Linked DNA regions of Sus scrofa. The protein of the gene in region 1 interacts with the protein of each later gene in a pairwise test. Links are inferred from orthologs where the notes say so. Each region holds a gene or a part of one and is shown in the gene's direction. Other genes may lie near its edges.

Region 1 (3,816 bases):
GGACATTTTCAGGATGGTTTTTTTTTTTTTGCACTGGGGACCCTTTCTCTCTTACACTGTCTACCACACAGTCAGGAGTCCCACCTCCCATCTGTTACCTGACTACAACTCCAGCTGTGCAGTCTTCTGCTTCCCTCATGTGCCTCAAGATTTCTGTTGTCTGCGTCATCCGTGAACATTCTAAACATCTACAGAGACAACTCAATAAATTGATGCTCTAATTCTGATAGCCCAGCAAAGAGGGAAGAAGAAGAAAGTGGTATTCCTCTGACACTGAACCTTGACAGGGACCCTCTCTCGAATGTCAGGTGACATACATTCATTTTAAGAATTCAACTTTGTTGCTATGGCAGAAGTTCCCTGAATAGAGAAAAGATGGCACCAGGGCAAACTGGTGGGAAGCATACTTAAGAAGAGAAGGACTTCCCTTGAATCCCCCAAATACACAGCTGTCTCCTCTGTGCCTTGGGCCAATTCTCCTTCTAAATCTCATTCTGCACTAGCCAGGGGACTAGCTGCACTTGAGCATTTAACTGATAATTCTGTCAAGACAAAATTTTATTGAATTGGATAGCCAAGAAATTCTGTGGTTTTCTAGCCTGTTGTAGCCAAACATTTCCTTCTCTTTTCTACTTTGTTTGGCTAAGATAAACCTGGCCTGAGTACATACAAAGTGCTTGTTTAGCTTTGATGAAGTCACATAATGTTCATTTTATTGCTTATGTTCTGTAAGGTGTAAGAACAAGAAAAGGCAGATGTGCAAATGATCATTTGATAGTTAGAAACCCATTTTAGAAAGATGTCACCATATATTTGCACTCATTTTTGCCAATAAAAAGACAGTTACTGGTAATAACACATTTCATAAATTTTAAGTTGTATTAGCATGCTAAAATAAACCCATGGTAAGCAGCATTAAAAATCAAAATTTTGTTGCTCTTATTTGTTAAATCCAATCATGCTTTATGCAAAATATTTTCCAATCTTCATAAGACCAAAGAGCATATTATGAAAGAGCAATGATGAGAAACTCCAAATATGCTGTGTTTTTTTGTTTGTTGCAATAGAGGTCTTCGAGTCTAGGTAATTTTGGTTCATTCCTATTCCTTCAAATTAAGAAAAGAAAGGAAAAGAAGTGTGAAGGAAGAAAAGTGGCACTTTTATTGATATTACAAGCTCTAAAAATCCCCAAAATATTTAAATTTTTTACATGCTGCCATGTAAAAATGCTACCATCTCTCTCATCTTTTGTAATGATCACCCTGAAAAAGTTAGCATCAGGGTTCTTGGTATTTTTCCCCTTCTCCTTATTTTCTTTGCCTAATTTCAAGTAGCTCTTGAAGCAGTTTAATCTACTAAAGCCATTCTACAAAAAGTCAGAAGCCTAGAGGAGTGACTGCACCTCCCATAGGTTCCATTGTGACTCTTGGTTGCATTTTATCATCCTGAGTCATGCTAATTGGAAGATAATCAGCATTGGGTCTCTTTGGATAACTTAGATGTTAAGGGGGGAAATTCAGGGAAATATGTGACTGTAGACTTTCGAAGAAATGATAGTGATGTAACTATTCCTTTGTTCTTTTTCTACTTCAGATATCCTTTGGGGAACAGACTGTCATTGCTGCATCAGCATATTTCACGCATTTATTAACACACATAATTTTAAAGGAGTCAGACACACTACAAGAAATATCTACATTGTGTTTTAACCTCAAACATTTATCTAGTAGTGTTTTTATTTATATAACCTAAGAGAGGAAAGGGCCCTGAGTACACCACGTTCTGACAGTCTTTAGGTAGCAGAGACTCATCTTTCCCTGTAGTCACCCCTTCTGCTGAAGACTGATATTTCACACTTTCTGAGCTTTTTGACCTAATCAATATTTCTACAGTACTGGCATGCCTATTGATCTAATCCAACTGTTATCTTTCCAGTTTGCATCAAAGATCACAGATTCAGGTTTCTTGTCTGCTCTTGAAAGTAAATGGTGAAACAGTCCATAGCCCATTGAAAGAAAGGTTAAATATATTAGAAGTGGATTAAAAAATACCAATACAACATTTGCCACCATGAGGCTTATCACAGAAACTTCATAAACGAGCATCTGGCTCAAGAACTAGAAGTGCTGTTATCAGATGTGCTTTTCCTTTTCACATATTTTAATGGACCAAAAAACAATAATGCAAGGAAGAGAACTGCCAAAAAATGTAACTCTAATGTGAAGCCGTGTTCCCTGTTTTTAGGAAGTGCTGGAGTCTCAGAATCAAGAATTTATAGAGAATCCAGAGGGCGTGGTAGCAATGAACCCCACATAAAGCGTCCAATGAATGCCTTCATGGTGTGGGCTAAAGATGAACGAAGGAAAATCCTTCAAGCCTTTCCCGACATGCACAACTCCAACATCAGCAAGATACTGGGTAAGGAGAGTATTCAGGGTTAAGAGATATATGAAATAAATATATAGTTCTCTCTTCTGCATTTGTCGAAAGAAACTGGATTCAGAGGCCAGGAACTCATGTTTTCTACTTATCCAGAAATAAACTGGACCATCATTGATTGACCCTTCTCTTCTGATGGTGAAGCAGTCCATGTTCATCACGAAACTGCCCAAAATCTGTAGCTAATTGCCTTGTGTGTTTCTGTACTAGCTGTTGTAATATTTTCTCTTCTTAAAAAATCTAAAAATATTTGTACCAAGACTAGGAAGAAGTGTTCTTTTCAGATAAGCTACTCCGTTTGGTATCGGCCAGGCTTATTTCTTTGTGGACTACAGAATTCGTCCTGTTGTGGGGGAGGGGGTGGAGGTGATGATGTTTGTTCTAGTACTATAACTGAACATCAGTTTAGATCGTCAAGATACAAGAAGCTGTTGAGTGTGTATTTTTAAATTTTTACTTTTAATAACCTTACATATATTTTCAGTACCATTTAAAAAGGGACTTTTTCTGCTATGGCAGCTTTCAGCTTAACATGGCAAAGTACATATTTACCTAGTGTACATAGATACACAGCAAACATGGGTGAGAGGAAAGAGTACTGATTATAAAGAGACCTATTATACACTGATTTAAGTCCCAGAAAGAAGGAAGAGAGGATTCCATTTCTTTGGTGCTATTCTTTTGACATGATCATCATCATTATTGTCATCCTCTTCATTATCTTTTATCTTCACCCTCAAGTAGGCGTGGTGCCCAGATTCTGGACAACCTAAGCAAATTTTCATTATTCTCTGACTTCTAAGAGCTAAGTGATAAGAAATAGAATAGGAACACTTAACTCTATCAGCAGATTTTGTCTGTGACAAATAAGTAATAAAATTTATCAAAGTTATTAAAACTTTATTAAAATCTGTAATGCCTTTGGAATTACAGGTACTTAGTGTAGTGCGCCTTTTGGTTCTGTACATTAAGGAACCAGTCATCTGAAAGTAGTTACCAAACATGTATCTGTGTTTTTATGATCTCATATTTTCAACAATGGTAATAGATGCCACCCAGTCCAGAGCATGCATTTGTAATGAAACAAAAGCAAATAAAAACTGCATCTCGATTTTCATCTAAATGATTTTGAGAGCTTTAGATGAAGGTGATCTCAAAAGATATGAACATGTGAAGCTGTAAGTGTACATAGAACACATGAATATTTATGGATAAATATGTATGAATATTTATGTATAATATATATCCATGTATAATCAAAAACCAGAACTGATCAAAAGAAAGTGCATTTTTTTTGCATCTCTACCGTCTCTGAACTGTTTTTCTTTCTTAGAACTATATTCTACCTTCCATATGAATTTTTTCATTTTTAGAAAA
Region 2 (3,816 bases), on another chromosome or scaffold:
GCGGTGGTGGCGGGGCCAAGACCCCCAGGCTGGGGTGGACCTGGTCCCCCAAGGAAACAGACCACCCCTCTGGCTTCAGTCCCTCCCCACCCCCACCCTAAAAATGGGATTTCCTTCTGAGAGTCAAAGAGAGAACTTACGTGAAAGGGCCAGGGACACAGAACCGAGGACCTGGGCGGCACCCATGTGAACAGCTGCCCAAAGGGACACTGTCCAGCTGCCAGGGGTTCTACAGTCGTGCTTCTGGGTACCGCTGGCCTTGTGGGTCACTGGTGTGGGTTTCTTGTTAGGGAGATTCTTTTTCTGTTTGAGATGGAGGGGGAATCTTGCAGGTTCCCAGCAGTAAGGATTTCCCGAGCTGGAGTGAACCAGGAGTACAGGACAGTCCACGCTGGATTAACAAAAAGGAAAGAGGAAGGGAAAGGAAAAAGAAAAAGAAAAAGGCGGTCAGAAGATGGGGGCTCCTGACCGCACACCTGCTGCCAGCCTGCCCGTGGTCAGAGCCCGCAGTGGCTGTGCTTTTTGCAGTGGCAGGGGTGTTGTGTCTTTGCAGCCATCAGCTCTCATGATGCCCTCAGTAAATCAAACCCGTGCTCCTCCCTGCACCCGCACCTTCAGGTTGTTGTGAGAATCACTCCTGCTCCCTTCCCTGCACCTACTGTGTGTGGGCGCTGGATGGCCCCACTGAACTGTCAGGGGCATCTCAGTTCAGGTGGCCCTCTTGAGGGTGTCAGGAGTTAGGATGACTAGAGAGAAGTGCTGTGCTTGGCTGGGGGCTGGGAGGGAACACCCCAAGGAAGTGACTTGTCAGGTGAGACTCAATGGGCCACCAGGACCCATGCTGGTGAGGAGGGCTTGTGGCCTAATGAGGAGCAGTTAGGACTCTGCTGATGCTCAGGGAAAGGCTGGATGCTTCACAAACAGGATCTTACTTTCTTTTCAATTACTCCTGGAGGATCTACGGTCCAGGCAGCCCCATGGTGCTTTGAGGGCCCACAAATGCAGGAGCCTCTGCAGTTTCCCAGCTCTGCTGAGCTGCTGTGAAAACTTCCTACCTAAACGTTGGGCAAGTTTTAGAGACAGAATTTCCCTAAGAACCACAGGCCCAACCCCAGCCTCCTCTCACTTGATTTAGGATTTCCTTCAAAGTTGTGGGGAAAGGGCTGGAGTGGAGGAAGGAGGGTGGTAGGGCCTGTGGGGTTGAGAGGAGTAGGCAGAAGTGAGCCCCATGTGTGTTTAAAGGGCCACCAGCAGCACTTGGGACAGTGGGCAGGGGACACGCTGTACAGGGCAGGTGAGGACTTTTCTCCACCTGGCCTACCCGGACACTGCCTCCCCTGCCACCTGCTCCTCCCTGCCAGCATCTCATGTCCTTTCTCCCCCCACCCCATCCTCTTCCTCCCCTTCCAGCACCTCCTGTCAAAGGGAAAAGGAAACAGTCAGAGGGCAGTGACCCCCTAGACCCCCCTGTGTCCCCTCAGCCTGATGGTGGACAGAGCAGGAGCCAGAGCCCTGTCCAGCTGGAGGTGAGTTGAGCAACCCCCTGGGGCCTCTTCCCTGCCCCTCCCTCCTGCCCACCCACTTCCGCACAGCTTCCCAGGTGAACGTGGGGAGCCTAGAGATGCATTCCGTACCCCCCCCACCCCCGCCTCCGGTCCTTCAGAGAGCTAGGGCCCATCCCCTCTGGCAGGGATCTCAGACTTGGTTTTCCTAGCAGAACCCTTTTACCAAATGAGGATTACCTGGAACCCCCATCTATAAAACAGATTGAAGCACTCTTCTACGATGTCGAACTACATTTACGTCCATCTGTCATTCCAATTTATAATACGGACATTCCATGGTGAGATCAGCGCGGCTGTGTTGATGGGCACATTCATTTGAAGAGCAGAGGTCAGAGCATTTTCATTCTGAGGCTGCACAAACCGGTTGCCTTGGTCTCTCACATGTTCCAGTTTCATGGGTAACCTGTGAGCTGGCTTGCTTATTACCAGAGATCTCTGACTAGTTAAAAACATGGACTTGGTACTTGAATAGACTGTCATGGAACACGTGGCTCTCCAAAGGATTCTAGGCCCAGATGGTTCCTGTCCTTTTAGTTTTGGGGGCCTTCCCAACCAGGACCTTAGATCCCTGCCCTGAGCCACCAGCCAGATGAACAGCATCAGCAGAAATTGCCCCCTGGGAGCAGAAACCAAAAGACCTGTGCATCTGACAGCAGTGCCATCGGAGCCCAGGACAGGGTTCCCCTCCCTGAGTTCACCAGGCAGATGGGTGGGTCACAGAGGCAGGGCTGGCAGAGGAGCCCCATAGAGAGCAGCAAGTGCCTTCTTCCTTCAGCTTGGACCACAGGAGCCCTTGGAGGACCACTGGGAGCCCACAGTTTTGTAGAGGAGCTGAAATGCAGATGTAACAAATCTAGAGCAAGATGGCTGATCTGCGAGAGGCCTAGAGAAGGTGCAGGCTGTTCCATGGCTGCCTCTGGAGCCAGGCCTCTGTGGACCCTGACCTGGCGTCCTGGTCACTAACAGCTGGTACCCACACCTTTCTGACCCCAGGAACAATCACTGTAGCCCAGAGCTGGGTCTGGGGGCCTGCTCCCTCCTGTGGGAGCCCGAGGTTGGGGGCCACACATCTCTTTCCTCCCAGGTAGCCTGTGGTTCCACCTGTCCCCAGCCTCCCACCAACTGGGGACTCATCCTCCTGCCTCCTGTTCTTTCCCCAGGACCCCCCCGAGGCAGGCGGGGAGCGGGAGGAGGAGCAGGAGCGGGAGGAGGAGCAGGCCTTCCTGGTCAGCCTCTACAAGTTCATGAAGGAGCGACACACGCCCATCGAGAGGGTGCCCCATCTTGGCTTCAAGCAGAGTGCGTCCCTGGGGTGCAGGCAGGGAGGGGGGGCCCGGCAGGGGACCCCACCCAGACAGGGCGTTGGGGCAGCACCTCCACTCTGGGTGACTCTGGATGTTGCCCCCCCCACCCAGGGGGGTGCACACAGAAAGGGTGCCCCCCTCCAGGCACAAGGCTGGCAATGGGTGGGGCTGGATTTCCATCCTCACAGGCCACTGGGCCCCCAGTGCAGAGGGCGCGGCCTGCCAGGGCATCCCAGTGGCCCTGTCTGGGTGCGTGCTGCTTCTGGGCCTGCCCAACAGGGCCATGTGGACAGGCTGCTGGCTGCCCCCTCCTCCCGCCAAGACTGACAGTGGCGCTGCCCTGTCTTTTCTCCAGTTAACCTGTGGAAGATCTACAAGGCCGTGGAGAAGCTGGGGGCCTATGAGCTGGTAAGGAAGTCACCTCCGCATTCTCGCCCGGCTGCGTCTCCCAGCACATGGCCCCAGCTGGGGAACAGTGTGCTCAACACTGCTGTCCTTGCCCCTAGACAGGAGGACAAGGCAGGGTCCCCAGCCTGCCCTTTCCCAGCCCCCCTGCCTGGCTGTGGGGAAAAGGGGGGACCCACCTTGCCTGCTGGTACTTTGCTGCTCAAAGCAAGATTTCCTCTCCTCCGCATCTGTTCTGCCCTTGTGCTCAGAAAGCTGCTCAGGCCAGCAGTCAGCAGCCCCTGGGAGGGATACCTGGCTGGCGGCCAGGCGCGCCCCCTCCAACCTTGTCATCTCTGCTGCTGGAGCAGCTGCAAGAATGTGTTCTTGCCCCATCCCTGCTGTGGGGGGACCCCGAGGCCAGAGGGTGCCCGCGGGCCATGCCCTCACCTGGCGCTGTTGCAGGTGACCGGCCGGCGCCTCTGGAAGAATGTGTACGATGAGCTGGGGGGCAGCCCGGGCAGCACCAGCGCGGCCACGTGCACGCGCCGCCACTACGAGAG

The links.
Region 2: the proteins of SOX5 (region 1) and ARID5A interact in a two-hybrid assay, tested with the Homo sapiens proteins (2 studies listed by BioGRID and IntAct). The two-hybrid records come from large-scale screens. The link is inferred for Sus scrofa from reciprocal best matches to the Homo sapiens genes SOX5 and ARID5A.

What each region holds. Positions count from the first base shown.
Region 1 is NC_010447.5:50,149,233-50,153,048, forward strand, and holds part of SOX5 (transcription factor SOX-5), read left to right. Parts: intron 1-2,244; coding exon 2,245-2,418; intron 2,419-3,816.
Region 2 is NC_010445.4:46,704,048-46,707,863, reverse strand, and holds part of ARID5A (AT-rich interactive domain-containing protein 5A), read left to right. Parts: intron 1-1,410; coding exon 1,411-1,526; intron 1,527-2,725; coding exon 2,726-2,864; intron 2,865-3,224; coding exon 3,225-3,816. UniProt on the Homo sapiens protein: DNA-binding protein that may regulate transcription and act as a repressor by binding to AT-rich stretches in the promoter region of target genes.